Mus musculus: one gene and its partners. The main gene of each other region encodes a partner of the protein of the gene in region 2 in a complex. Links are inferred from orthologs where the notes say so. Each region holds a gene or a part of one and is shown on either strand. Other genes may lie near its edges. The genes, in order: Gtf2h5, Gtf2f1 and Polr2h.

Region 1 (4,195 bases), about 51 Mb from region 2:
AAACTAACTTTACCCTCACTGCTTGGGATTAAAGGTGTGTGCTAAGGGCCTGTCTCTATTCCAGCCAGGGTAGCCATACTGCTGGATTAAAATGCCTCTACAATCAGCCCTTTTAAATTCATGAACTATTTCCCGATTTACAGTCCCTCCAACCTCAACTAGTGTTGGTTTTTGTTTGCTTTTTCCTCCTCCTCCTCCTCCTCCTGTGCTGTTTTGTGTTTTGTTTTTCTTTTTAATTTTTTGAACAACATTGAAAAATGGAATTGATGGTATATAGTCAGTTTTACTAACCAAAGCTTTATTTGAAAACTTTTGTACAAATTATATGCTTAAATACTTTAAGTCACTTTATAAGTAAAATGCATAGCACTTAATTTGTTTATACTGTAAAATATATGTTAAATGGTTTTATCAATTTGAGAATAAAGATAGTTACAAAACAAAACAAAACAAAACAAAACTGACTTTGTTGAAATCTCTATCTTCCTGTTTTATCCTATGGTAGCTCACTAGTCACAGAACATTTGATACTATGTAAAAGTAAGATACTAGACTTGAAGGGTTTTTTTGAGACTTAATACATGGGAAAAGAGAGCTGGCTCAGAGGGTAAGAGCACTTGTTGCTCTTGCAGAGGACCCAGGTTCAGTTCCCAGCCCAGTGGCTCACAACTTGTTCCCAACCCAAGGTCCTGGCAATCCAATGCCGTCTTCTGATATCCTTAGGCAAATACTCATACACAGAAAATAAAATTACTCACAGCCTACCTGATTCATTTCACTCTTTGATGTAGTTACTAGAAAATTTAATTTATGTGGCTTATACTGTATTTCCACTGGACAGTGCTGCTCCAAATGTTACAGGTATCCTAGGGTTTGACCCTGCTGTCCCCTCAGCTTTGCCATCACAGTAAAAGCACCACTACCTAAACAATGACTCATAATAGGCAAACAGAAAGGAGACAGTATTTTTAATAAAGGGGAGTCCAGAGAACAGGGCTTCCTACCAACAAAGCGAAAGCTTTGAGTTCGAGTTTTAAAAGTCAGAGACAGCAAAGACCTGTATTTTAGGTTACTTTGAAGAATTCAACTCTAAAAATGGTTTCTCCTTTGGAGAAACTCCTAAGTTAAGCCTGTTGCATTTGGCTCTCATTTCCTTTCAAGAAAGGCATGCTGTAGTGGCAAAGATTTAACCAAGTTCATGTATTGCTTTATTCTTTTCATTTTTTGAGGCAAGGTTTCATTATACAGCCTTGGGGGGTGGGTAGGAAGCAGGATCTGAAACTTACCATGTAGAGCAGGATGACTTTGATCAGCTAAGAGATCCACCTGCTGGGACAAAGGCCCACCCCAGGAGCCTGGCCCAAGAGCCTGGCCCAAGCCAAGCGCCTGCATTCTTCCAAAGCTTAATCTAGCCAAGAGCTGATGGTTTTAGATAGTGACACTGTTTCTCTAAACAAGGCTAATCTAACACACAAGCTTCCCATTAAAAAAAAAATCACTGGAAGTAAAGCTAATTACATTCACTTAACAGAGACAATAAAATGTAATATCAGCAAGAAACCTAGCAGCAAATCCTGTCCCACTTATAAGGAAAGCTTATGGAAATTCAAAGTTGAAGCCTGGATTTCATTTATATCAACAAAACAAAATTTTGGAAAAGACATACACACACACACACTATTGAGGCATAGTGAATATACATAACAAGACTCGATGTGTAAATTTAAAATCATGAATTGTTAAAGCTACGAACCATTCTATAAGCACCCCTTTCAGCACGTTGACCATCTTTTCCCAGGCAGACGGTGCAGATGACTTCAAGAATTCTAAAATAAATAAATACAATTTAAAAGGGATGAAGTGACATAAAATCCAAATGTTTAAACCCACTTTGGGGATTTACATCTGAGATGAAACAAAAAACTAAATGTCAGCATTAAAAAGCTAACATTGAGGCATCCAGATATTCCTGTTCTTACCAGTGCTAAAGCAGAATATTTGCAATATTAATAAAGCATAAATCCTACTTACAAATTCTAATTAATCTTTTAAAAAGTAAGCTCCAAACACGGCAGGGTGGTTCAGGCTTTCAATCCCAGCACTCAGGAGGGAGGAAGGGGCTGGCAGGGCTCTTTAGTTTTGGACCAGCCTAGACTACATAGTGAGCCACAAACTTTAAAAACAAAAAAACAAACAACAAAAAAAACCCAAAACCAAAACTCCTCAAAAATTAACGGGCCCAACACAGTGTAAAATAGATTCATTATTCAACTGTTTTCTTTTTTATCCAAGAGAACGATACACTGAAAAGATTCTGGGAGGCAGAAACTACAAAATGGTAGTTCCGAAAGAGCCTCAAAATTACAGTGACCCACCGCCTGATTATACTGATGAGACCGAGTACCTGGACAAAGCAGGTAATTTAAATTTACAAACACCTAGGTCTCCAGATCTTGTGTTCTTTTGATTAATAAACTACGTCCTCTAAGGATCTGCATTGGCAATCGCCTGCGTGACAGCCACCAGTGTCTACACGCAGGCATGGGCAGCTACCTTCCCCACAGAAAACCGCGATGCAATGCGTGATGGCCGCGCGGACCCACAACACAGGCCTTAGAAAGGGTGCGGGACTTCGGCCCGCCCACAGGACCGAAGGCTCTGTGTCTTTCCTCTTCCCCGCCTTATCTCCGAGGCAGCCGAGCCCCACGCAACCTACCTTTTTCTAGGCGCGCAGAGGCAGCAGCGTTCCAACTCCAACAAACCAGAGCTGGCCCGGCGTCGCCGACTCACTGCGCCTGCGCCGTACGTCATCGCGCCTGCGACACCCTAGTAGGTGGGGCGACTCTCTGGGGCGGGCCCTAAGGGCGGGGTCAAGCCCTCAGAGGCGGGGTCACGTGCTCACTGCCGCTGGGTTAGGGCGCAGGTTACTAGTGGTGGCGGAGGGTGAGCTCTGTAGCCGGCGGAGTCCACCGCGAGCCGTCCGGGCTGCCAGAGTCATTGCGCCGGCAGGTAGGACGGGCGAACGGACAGAAGGACGGACGGAAGGGAGGGAGGGCAAGGGCGTCGCCGCAGCCCCAGGAGAGGAGGGCGGTAGTCCTGCACAGACACTAAGGTCGCGCGGTCTCGGAGGGACCCGATGACTCGCCGCGGCACCACGGATTTTTGTCTTTTTCTTGATTGGTCACTGCGCCGCGCTGGTTGCCCCTGAGGCTTGGAGGAGAGCACCTGCATGGAAGGTGCACTGTCCTGGGCTCTGTGTTCTCATAAGCCACACCTGAGTCGGACACATCTTGCTCTTCTCCGACCTGGGAGATTGAATAGTTGGAATGCTGATAGGTTTTCTAATCCCAGTAACCGTCATTTTAAGCTGAAGGCCTCCGGAAAGTTCTGAAGTTAATCCTATTCCCAAATTCTGATCTGTAGTCTTAATGGAGCTGAGTTCTCAGCAGTTGAGACAGGAGGTAGTTTTAGCTTCTTGATCCTTAGGTTAAATTGTATTTCCACATTTAAGCTCATGCTGATATTTGCTTTACACGTCTCATCTTCCTTTAGCCAGTTTCACCCTTCCACCTGTTTCCCTCACAGCTCCTCAAACTTCTCTTTTAAAGAATGTATTTATTACATATATGTATGCATGTATGTATGTACGTGGGTCGGGTGTGTGATGTGTGTTCACCAATGCAGGAACGGTCAGAGGACAGTTGGAAGGAGCCCATTCTCTTCCTGCATGTGAATCCCTGGGCTGGAACTCTGTCCATCAGGCTCTGCACAAGAGTGCCGTGTTTGCTGAGCCATCTTACCATCCCTGGGCCCTCTTGTTAGTTCATTCCCACATCTACTGTACCCCGCTCCTTTTTTATTGTTGCCGTTGCTTATTTATTTTTGTAGAAACGCTGATTTTTTTCATTCTTCTTTCACGTAATTTAAGAGGCTTCAGACCTCTTTACCATAGTTAGTGGTACCTAAAGGGCCAGTCACTTCAGAACAATCTGCCTGTGACCTGAAGTGTCCACAAAGGGTACAAGCGTTTAAATTTCACAATGCATTAGACAAGCAGAAGTGAGGTCTAAGTACCATTTTACCCAGGAGATTAAAATATTTGGAAATGCAGGCAGCACTAGTCATTATTAAAATATAGACGGAGGGAGTAGTTTTGTTTGCCTGCACTAAGTGAGCACAGTTATACTCAAATGAG
Region 2 (4,458 bases):
CCTGGCTATGGATTGAGCTCAGTGGGCAGAAAGGCTGTGTCTTATAAGAATGGAAGCTCACCCGGGCGTGGTGGCACATGCCTTTAATCCCAGCACTTGGGAGGCAGAGGCAGGCAGATTTCTGAGTTCAAGGCCAGCCTGGTCCACAGAGTGAGTTCCAGGACAGCCAGGGCTACACAGAGAAACCCTGTCTCAAAAAACTTAAAAAAAAAAAAAAAAAAAAAAAAAAAAGAATGGAGGCTCAGAAGGGTGGAGTATCAGGAACTGGAGATGTGAGAGAGGTACAGAGGGTCAGGAAATCAAACAAAAATATGTAGCAGGAGGATGAGGAACTGGGGATAGCTGCTGGAGGGCCCAGGACCCAACCAGGATGACTTCAGCCGAAATGCTCAGAGGAGATAGAACTTGTTGAAATCACCTCCAGTAGATAGGTCCAGCCCCTGGTTGAGGGATGGGGACGGACACACACACACACCATCTCAAAGTTTTTAACCCAGAAACATTCCTGCCCAAAGGAAGAACAGGGACAAAAAATAGCACAGAGACTAAAGTAAGGGCTAACTGGGGACTGCCTCACCTGGGGATCCATCATGTCTACAGACACCAAACCCAACAGTTCCCATGGTCAAGAGGAGCTTGCTGACAGGAACCTAGTGTGGCGGTTCCTTGGGAGGTCCTGTCAGCAACTGACTAATGCTGAGGCAGATGCTTGGAGCCAACCATCAGGCAGAACTCAGGGAACCTGGTGGGGGAGCTTGCAGAAGGACTGGAGGGGATTGCAACCCCATTGGAAGAACAACATAGGATGGCCTGACCACCCAGTTCTTCCATAGTTTAGACCACTAGCCAAGGAGTGTACCTGGAGGGATCCATGGCTCCAGATACAAATGTAGGAAGATGGCCTTGCCTGACAGCAATGGGAGGGGTGTCTCTTTGTCCCAGGGAGGTTTGATGCCCCAGAGTAGGAGGATGCTGGAGCAGTGGGAGAGTGTGGGAGCACTCTCATACAGGCAAAGGAGAGGAGGGAGGACGGGATGTGGGATGGGGGTTGGTGGAGGGCGTAACCAGGAAGTGGGATATCATTTGAGATGTAAACAAATGGAATGATTAATACATATATGATGCATTAAAGAAAGAAAAGAAGGAAGGAGGGAGGGAGGGAGGGAGGGGGAGAGATTGAGAAACAATGGAAGAATGGAGGCCCAGATGCCTCAGGGCTCCAGGGCGGCAGGGGTGGCAGTGATGACTCGCACACACTCTGGGCCTGCTCTCTTTATTGGCATCACTCTTTGAGGGAGAAGTGCATCTTATCACCAATCATCTTGCGCTCAGGGTTGAGGCGCTTGAGGATCTGCGCCAGCACATTTACTGTCTGCTCGCTGCTCAGCCCTGTCTTCTTGGTCTGGAACTTCTTCAGCAGGTCCTTTGTGGTCATGGGCTTGCGGGTCAGGTAGCGGCGCACAGCGTCCTCTGTCACCTGGACATCACTGTGGGAGGGGAAGGGAGGGAGGCTGGAGTCATACAAGAGTCCCTTTAGCCCAATCCCACCTATGGTCCTGCTCCTGTCTGAACGTACCCGCTGCTGGGTGTGGACTTCCCAGACAGGCTCTGGGGACCCGTGTCCATCCGAAGACGCTTGGCTGCTGGAGTCTCACTCGTCCGCTTCCCTGGTGGAGAGAGTAATGTCACGTCCAGGCAGGGCCCAGATCGGGGACAACAGGTGGCTGCCAGCAGCTCTTTCTCCAGTGACAGGCTTTTCTGGGCACTCACCCTGCTCCAGCTTGCTGGCTGCAGCCCGCAGGGTAGAAGAGGTGCTTGCTGCTTCTGCACTGGGAGTCCCTGGCCGACTGGTGCCCTTTGAACTCCCCCCCGATGGCTTCCGCTCCCTCTTTGGGGGTGTCTTCTTCTTCTGCAGAGATTAGGGTATGAGTGTGAAGGCTCAGACTGGCCCTACTCAAGCCCCCAGCTCTGACTTACCGCCATGAAGAGTGCAGAGGAGGTCTCACTGTCAATGTCGCTCTCTTCTGAGCTGTCTGAGTCATCACTGCTGTCTGCACAGGGCAGATAAGGACCATAAGCAGAGACCCCAGACAGAGCCTACCCATCAGCACCCATGAGCAGGGAGGGCCAAAGGACCAGGAGTATACTGGCCATCATCGCCCACCTTTCCTGCGCTTCTTCTCTTGTGGGGTAGGGGCCTTCTTCTCTTCTTCCTCCTCCTTGTCCTCCTCGGGGGGCTTCTCCTCCTCACTCTCCTCACTGCTCTCGCTCTGCTCATCCACCCCTGGGACACAGGTCACATGGGTGAGCAGTGGCAACTTCTGAGCGCACTCCCACCCACTGGTTGGTCCCTAACTGGCACCTACCCTTTGGGCCATCCTCCTGCTGGGGCACTTTGGGCTTGCCTTCTGTCTCATCTGGAGAGCTGCTATAGGGCAGAGAAAGGCAAGCCGTAAAGTTGGGCGGCCACAGGCCTGGCCTGCCTTGCCCCTGCCTCATCTCTGCCTTGCCTGTGCCTTACCTGGAGCCATCAGACATGTAGTCTACCTCCTGGCCCTCGAAGTCCCCATCATCGCTGTCCTCAAAAGCCTCATCATCTGAGCCCTTCTTCTTTTTCTTCTTCCTGCCTGCCTTGGTCACAGGGGCCTTTTTCTTAGCCTTGGAGGTTCTGCTGCCTGTGAGAGGAAGACACAGGAGCTCAGACTGGATGAGCACAGATCTCTGCTCTCTGCTGGGCAGGGGCTCCAGCCGCTCTCACTGGGGACTCTAAGCAGGGGCTCCACCCAAGCCACGCCCCCAGCCGCTCTCACTGGGGATTCTAGGCAGGGGCTATACCCATGAGCAGCAATTCCATCTAGCCAGGAAATCCTGACAGCTGATGCCACATGCATCACTGTACTCAAGCAGTGACAGGAAAGACACAGGTCACATAGCATCTAAAGCCTTTATAAAAAGTATCTGAGCCAGGCAGTGGTAGCGCAGGCCTTTAATCCCAGCACTTGAGAGGCAGAGGCAGGTGGATTTCTGAGTTCGAGGACAGCCTGGTCTACAAAGTGAGTTCCAGGACAGCCAGGGCTACACAGAGAAACCCTGTCTCGAAAAACAAAACAAAAAAATAGTATCTGAGCAGGCAGCTCTACAGGGACACATTGCTGCTTCCCAGGTGGTGGTAACTCACCTGGTCTCTGAACTAAGACCTCTGGGTCCCCACTTACCCTCTTCACCACTGGCATCGCTGGCATCGGAGGACATTTCCAGGTCATCCTCCAGGTCATGAATGCGCAGCTCACTAGGCTTCTTGCGACTGCGCTTCTCCTTCTCCTCCTCATCTTCATCCTGGTCCTGGTCCTTGAGCCGCCGCTGCTGCATGATGCTGAAGTGGTTTAGGACCTTGTTCCTCCTGCATGGGAACAAGTGACTATGTACTTTGTGTAGCAGAGGATGGTGGGGAGTAGGGGACTGCAAAGAGCTCCTTGGGCAAAGAGGATGGTAGAAGATAATGACCGATACACTCAAATGGGCATCCCTTCTTTACAGGACAAATGGGCATGACAGGATAACCTCATTAAGGCACAAACACTGTAAAGGAGGCTAAGGCAGGGTAGTTAGCCTGAGCCACACCACATGCAACAGAAAGAGAAAGAGGCAGGGCATACAGCCTGGGCCATTTCAAACCCCCAAATCTTGAAACAATATAGGGTGAGCCCTGAGATGGACTCAGGCCCATGTGCACCTAAGCCCCCTGGAGACCCCAAATCTTAGCTCCTCCAAACTCAGGGTCTGTTCCAGGCATATCCAGCCATTATATTGGTTAGCTAAATAACATTTTATGGCTTTGGAGGTGGTGGGTTGTTCGGTTGTTTTTGGTTTTTGGTTTTGTTTTCTTGGTGAAACAGGATCTCTCTCTATTGTCCTAGCTGTCTTGGAACTCACTATGAAAACCAGGCTGGCCTTGAACTCACAGAGATTCTCATGCCACTGCATCCTAGAGTGCTGGGGTAAAGGTGTGCACCACCAGGCTTGGCCCAGTTAAAATTCCTTTTAAAACAGGATCTCATTGTGTGATCTTAGCTGGTCTGTAACTTGGAATATAAACCACCCCTCAAACTCAGAGATCCTGTTGCCTGTGCACCAAAGTGCTGAGATTAAGGGTGTGTACTACTGTGTCTGTCAAGTTTTGGGGTGTTTTGAAACCAAATCTCATATAACCACAGCTGGCTTCAAACTTAATACAGAAGATGGACCTGAATGCCTGGTCCTTGTTGCTTCTGCCATCTGTGTGGTAATGTGTGCATACACTACCCCCACCCACACCCCCCACTGTTAATTTATCTCAAGGATTACTTAGAGAAGGGGCAGGGTCTCACTGGACAAGGAGCCGTCCATGAACCACACCTATGCATGCCCGGAAGAAGACTACGCATAGTGGGAGGAGGAGCTGCTTTTGACATTGCAGTC
Region 3 (5,785 bases), on a different chromosome or scaffold from region 2:
TTTAAACTCTTTGTTTGTTTCTGTTTTTAAAATAACAGGGTCTCACTATGTAACCCTGGCTGGCCTGGAACTCACTCTGTAGACCAGGCTGGCCTGGAATGCACAGAAATCCACCTGCCTCTGTCTCTCCAATGCTGAATTACAGATATCTGCCACCACAGCAGCTACTCAAACTCTTTATCTAAAAGATTCCCTAGGTGACTATTGTTCTTCTTCTCATTTTGTTCTTTTTCTGTGCTTCAAGTTTCTGACAACCACACTTTTTAAACATCATTTTAAAGAAAAGGGGAAAAAAAATTCAGGCAGGGAAACCAAAGATCCAAGGGTTGGGCTACAGAGAAGCAATACATACTTAACCAAAACAAACAAACAAACAAACAAACAAACAAACAAAAAAGGCCTGATTATGCATAGTGCACGTGTTCTCCAGCAAGATGCTCTGTTGTCCTTCACAAAGCAAGATAGCTCGTGCCTCCTCTGGACTACAGGGTCTTGAAAACCCTGACTATGGTGCCGCTGAGTGACCCACATACAGGCTGGAAACTGTTCCCAAGACAAATTCTTCCACCTAGGTTTGGAATACTAGAAACAAAGGGGGGTGGGGGTGGGGAGAGGGCGGCAACACAGAAGTAAAAGCCTGGCCCAACCTCAGAGCAGGGAGGGAAAAGACTTTTCCTAGACAGTGTTACTTACAGGCGTGTGGCTGCTTCAGTGGAGGTCTCATCCCCTTCGATCCTGTACACTTTCCCATACATGACATACTCAAACTGGTCAGCCCTACAAACAACAGACTGGTCACTCTTCATAGTAAGAGTCTACGGGAACTTTAGAAATGGAGACTGATGAGGTACACATGCAGAACCATGACCTTCCTTGGCCCCCACAGAAATTCTGTGAGGTACACATGACCATCTGTATTTCATTGATGAGGAGACAGAAGGCTTTGAACTGAAAACTCAGGTTGAGTCGTGGCCTTTTAGCCCTATTCCAACTGGCCTCAAACTCACAGTCAGACAGACTTGTGCTTCTGTTTCCCAAGTGCAGGGACTAAGGGTGCTGGTCACCAGACCTACTACTCCATAGTCTTTCTATCACACCAAGCTCCCTCACAAGACCTAAGTTACTATGTAATCCTTTCCTCAGCCTTAAAGACCTAACCCTGAACCAAAGGCGGCACATAACCTTAATTCCAGCACTGAGGCAGAGGAGGTAGATGTGACTCTAAGTGCAAGGCCAGCCTGATCTACAGACCAGGTCAACCAGGTCTCTACAAAGTGAGAAGACCCTGTCCCACATAAATAAATAGATGCAATTCACAAGCTTATGATCACTGCTCTCAGTAATGAATAAAACTAGTCATCTGAATTTTTTTCAATTTTTTTAGACACAAGGTCTCATGTAGCCAAGGCTAGCCTCAGACTTGATATGAGGCCAAACATTTTCTTGAACTCGTGAACCGTCTCCTGAATCCTGGATTATAGACAAAAGCCATCACATCCAGGTCTAGTTGTCTGAATTCTTTTTTTTTGTTGTTTTTTGTTTTTTTGGTTTTTTTTTTGAGACAGGGTTTCTCTGTATAGCCCTAGCTGTCCTGGAACTCACTCTGTAGACCAGGCTGGCCTTGAACAGAAATCTGCCTGCTTCTGCCTCCCAAGTGCTTATGCTGGAATTAAAGGCGTGTGCCACCACTGCCCAGCTAGTTGTCCGAACTCTAATTGCAGCAATGCCTTTAAGGTAATTCAGATTCCACTGACAGCAATCATTTATCTCTAGAAGTAAAGACTTTCCTATATACTTACGTTTTTCTTTCTTTATAATATATACATAATATAGAACATATGTTATATAACATTATATGTAATATATAATATGTACTATATATTATATGTAATGTACAACATTATATATAATATATAAATAAATTATATATTATATTACTTCATTACATTCTCATCATAGTTACTTATATATAGTATTAACATATGTTATTATATACTATAACATACATGTTATATATTATATCTAATATATAACATTATATAACTTATGTTATACATTGTCATGTAATGTGCATAGTATATAATACATATTGTATCCAAGAAATCAAATTTTCTATAACATATAGTTATACATATGTATATCCATAATCTACATATTATACTTTCTCTGCACTATATTCTTATCTTAGTCACTTGTTTACTGCTACCTCACCTGGAAGGCCTGTCATCTGTGGGGTTGTATTCACCATCATCCAAGGTACCATCTTCATACAAAGTACTAGCTATAACCAACCGGAACTTGTCACCTGAATAGAGCAGCAACATCAGGGTAAAGAAGTAGACACCTAAGACCAAAATCCTCTTGCCATTGCCCGTATTCAATACTTACCTAAGTCCACAGGGTAAATCTGAATGTTTACATCTAAGATGAGGTCCATCTTGAAAGATTCACTCTCACAGTGCAGCCGGGATACTGGGGAAGAGTGCATGACAGACATGATTACAAAGTCTATCGATGCCAGCTTGGGGTCAAATGCAAGAGATCAAATCATCTAACATGCACACACCCACCAGCCTCCCACAACTGCAATCAGAATCAGATTCACAAGAGGGAAGAAGGCAGTAACCTCAGCAAGTGACAGGGTCCCAAGCAAGCGGCAAAGCTCCTCCAGCAGTGGCCAGTCTCCAGGCTCTAACTAAAAACGCCTGGATGATTTAGACTAGAGTCTCACTGGTCCTGAGACTTCCTCTTTCTAGCAGGAGACACTGCTGAGGGAATCTGAGGGATGTATTCAAAACTGACATCTGTCTTAAGACATTTGCCTCCAGGCTAAGCGACACCAAGAAGAAACAACTTCCGGATCGTTGGGAAAATAAATACACCAAGCGGTCAACTGAATGAAATTCAGAGAGCTTCGGAAAGAGCTAACTTGTTCTTAGGCTAATACAAAATTATTGGTTAGGAAGGCAGGTAGGTAACTCGCTGCAAGACCTGGGGTAACAAAAGAGATAAGGCACCATCTACTTTTTCCAAGAATAAAGTTCAGAGCACGGTAGAGCACATAATAACTGTGTAGGGAGTTAGAAAGGTTCCCAGGGGTATGCCAGCACCCAGCTAAGGGCCACCCACCGGGCACCAGGCACCGCAAATATAATAGAAAAAGCTGTCTCAAGTTTCTCATTCACGAAAAAAAAAAAAAAACTGTTTCCTGAGGGAGGTACCGAGAGGGTGGGGCGGGCCAGCCACTTGGGGTGGGTGGGCATGTTGGCCACTTCCCTCCTACCGCCCCGACACCGCTTACCTCGGTCAAATTTCTTGCCTTCTGGGTCGATGTCTTTCACATCGAAAATATCCTCGAACAGGATGCCCGCCATCGCGAAGGGCACGAAAGCTGCAGAGGATGTGAGCGCGCGGCCACCACTGGGGATTCGCGCACCCCCTCACGTGGAGAAAAGTAAGACAGGGCAGAGTACCGCCCCAAAAGCGGCAACGAGGCCGAGGGCGCGTGCGCACGGGCTGCAGTCACGCAGCCACTTCCGCTGCCTCCTTCTCGGGGCTTCTTCACTTCCGCCGGGAAGGGCCACCTCCGAGGTGCTCGGGCCTTGTGGGCGAGTCTCAAAACTCGGTGACTCCGTCCAAGGCGGGGACAGATTAAGTCCCACCTCCGACGGGGTACCGCGCTGCGCCCGGCTCGACGGCGCCCTCTTCAGACTGTGGATCCCAAAGCGTGGAAAGCTTGGGGGCCTAACCCAGCCAGGAACCTTGATCCTTGGCCCAGAGAAGCCCGGCCCTAGCCCTTCCCTGAAGTCCGCGTGCCGGCCGAGGGCACAGTCCGCGCTGCAGGCAGGTGGAGCAGAACCCCGCCCGCAGAGCACCAGCCCTCCAGGACCCGGTGCCCAGCCCCTCAGACTGTCACCAAGATCCCCAAAGCTGGTGCGAGCTGGCTCGGACCAGCTAGACATCACCGGAGCCGGGTGCGTCCGGTTTGGGAATTTGCCATGATGTCACTCTCGGGGAAAGGAAAGCCCGCATTGTGCCCTCCCCTGGGGCTTCACCTCCTCGCCACTCCCGTCTTCCCTTGGCCCTGCTTGGCACTAGCCTCACACTGATCCCCTAGAACACTGCCAACTGAACTTGGTACTGCCTGTCACCCCACTATACCACCCTCTTCTGGACACTGAAGTGCGCCTTTCACTGGGAGGCGACAGCTCGCAATACCTTCTTTCTAGGTGCTACCTCCTCTCATTACAGCCCCTGTGCTGGGCACCCTCTTGTTTCTTGAATGAGTCTTCATCCTGGTACTATTCTTTCTCCACAGATTTCTGGACACTGTCCTCTCCAGTGGCTCCAACCTAACGCTGCCCATCCTCTTTGTGCCCTCGACACCTTCTTCTTGTCCTTCCCAGGACCCCGAAAGACAATGTGGAGCCTCAGTAGGCCGTTTCCTCAGGGCGTCAGCAGCTACTCAAATTCCCCCTTAAGCGGTGCCTGGGAGGAGCGACCTCTGCTCCCCCCCCCCCCCACACACACACACACACCCGCCTCCCAGGAGCGGCCTCCCCCGCACCAATAGCTCCCTTCCCTCGGGCCTCACCCCTTCCCGTCCCCTCCCACCTCCACCTCCGCCCCTCTTTCCAGGCCTAGCCATTCCAGGTGCACCTTCCCGGGGGAACCCGGAGGAAAGGAAGGAGAAAGGGAGGCAAGGAGGGAGCCGGCTCTCGGGCATCCTCCCAGATGCGTCTGAGCCGCCTGAAAGTGTGAAGCAGAGGCTGCCCCTGTCCGGTCTGGCTTAGAGAGCCCGAATTAGCTTTTGTCAGTAGCCCCCTACCCCAGTTCAAGAGTCCCCACATCTCCAGCCCCTCCCGCACAACGCTGCAGCCGCGGGAGAGCCCGTCCCTTCCACGTGCCAGCAGACCCGCCCCCGCCCGGCCCCCGCACCCTCAGGGCGCTGGGTTAATCCCGGGCCTCCGTGGCGAAGGGGTGCGAGATCGTGTTTCAAGCGCCCCCTGCCGCCTCTCCGGACACCAGGAGGCGGCCCCAATGCAGACCCCGGCCGGGCAGGGACGCCCCTGCAGATGGGCCGGGGCGGAGCAGCAAAGCAGGGCACCGCCCTCGGCCCGCCCGCCGAGGAGGAGACGCTAGCGGGAGGCTGAGCCTGCGGCGCGCGCCCGGGGACCCGTCGCACTCTGCACTCGGCCGCCTGGGCTGAGGGGACGGGACGGGTGCGGGCGCGGGCTCAGCGGGCCGGGAGCTGAGTCAAGGCCGAGAAGCAGAGGGAGGCAAGAGGACAGTGCACCGAGATGGCGGCTGCAACGGCTGCGGCGGCCGCGGCGGCGGCGGCGGGGGAAGGGATGGAGCCTCGAGCGCTGCAGTACGAGCAGACCCTGGTAAGTGAAACCCAAGGGTTGCCCTACGGGACCAATGCTGCAGGTTGCCCTGGAAAGTGTGAGGACAGATGGCCTACCCTAACCCGGCCTCAGCCTTTCTCAGCTATGGAAACTGAGGTTCGGGATCCGCCAGGCTGTGGGTTCAGAGTGTTGGAAAGCTGCTTGCTGGTTTCTGGCTGAGACTGGTGGCCTGCAGAAGACAATGACACCAGGTGCTTGGCCCAGGTGTCCTTTCTCTTACCCACTTCTGCATACACGTTTTTGTTTTCTTCACTTACCACTTGAGTCCAAGTTACAGCAGCCCAGTGCTCTTTCTGAACACCATCTATACTATTGAACTTGATCCACATGTCTATCTACTTTCAACACCCTCCTGGGTCCCTGCTGTGTACATGGTC

What was found.
Region 1: Gtf2f1 (region 2) and Gtf2h5 share a complex: the UniProt entries of both Homo sapiens proteins name them as parts of the TBP-based Pol II pre-initiation complex. The link is inferred for Mus musculus from reciprocal best matches to the Homo sapiens genes GTF2F1 and GTF2H5.
Region 3: Gtf2f1 (region 2) and Polr2h share a complex: the UniProt entries of both Homo sapiens proteins name them as parts of the TBP-based Pol II pre-initiation complex. The link is inferred for Mus musculus from reciprocal best matches to the Homo sapiens genes GTF2F1 and POLR2H.

What each region holds. Positions count from the first base shown.
Region 1 is NC_000083.6:6,078,433-6,082,627, reverse strand, and holds the start of Gtf2h5 (general transcription factor IIH subunit 5), read right to left. Parts: upstream 2,801-4,195; 5' UTR 2,717-2,800; intron 2,711-2,716; exon of another isoform or gene 2,032-2,710; intron 1,827-2,031; 5' UTR 1,789-1,826; coding exon 1,754-1,788; intron 1-1,753. UniProt on the Homo sapiens protein: Component of the general transcription and DNA repair factor IIH (TFIIH) core complex, which is involved in general and transcription-coupled nucleotide excision repair (NER) of damaged DNA and, when complexed to CAK, in RNA transcription by RNA polymerase II.
Region 2 is NC_000083.6:57,002,145-57,006,602, forward strand, and holds the end of Gtf2f1 (general transcription factor IIF subunit 1), read right to left. Parts: intron 3,401-4,458; coding exon 3,216-3,400; intron 2,676-3,215; coding exon 2,522-2,675; intron 2,429-2,521; coding exon 2,367-2,428; intron 2,285-2,366; coding exon 2,165-2,284; intron 2,052-2,164; coding exon 1,978-2,051; intron 1,910-1,977; coding exon 1,771-1,909; intron 1,668-1,770; coding exon 1,577-1,667; intron 1,488-1,576; coding exon 1,283-1,487; 3' UTR 1,258-1,282; downstream 1-1,257. UniProt on the Homo sapiens protein: TFIIF is a general transcription initiation factor that binds to RNA polymerase II and helps to recruit it to the initiation complex in collaboration with TFIIB. It promotes transcription elongation.
Region 3 is NC_000082.6:20,715,511-20,721,295, reverse strand, and holds the start of Polr2h (DNA-directed RNA polymerases I, II, and III subunit RPABC3), read right to left. Parts: upstream 3,471-5,785; 5' UTR 3,375-3,470; coding exon 3,302-3,374; intron 3,238-3,301; exon of another isoform or gene 3,182-3,237; coding exon of another isoform or gene 3,130-3,181; intron 3,120-3,129; exon of another isoform or gene 2,627-3,119; intron 2,473-2,626; coding exon 2,389-2,472; intron 2,306-2,388; coding exon 2,212-2,305; intron 778-2,211; coding exon 694-777; intron 1-693. Other genes in the region: Clcn2 (chloride channel protein 2), read left to right, coding at 5,301-5,387. UniProt on the Homo sapiens protein: DNA-dependent RNA polymerase catalyzes the transcription of DNA into RNA using the four ribonucleoside triphosphates as substrates.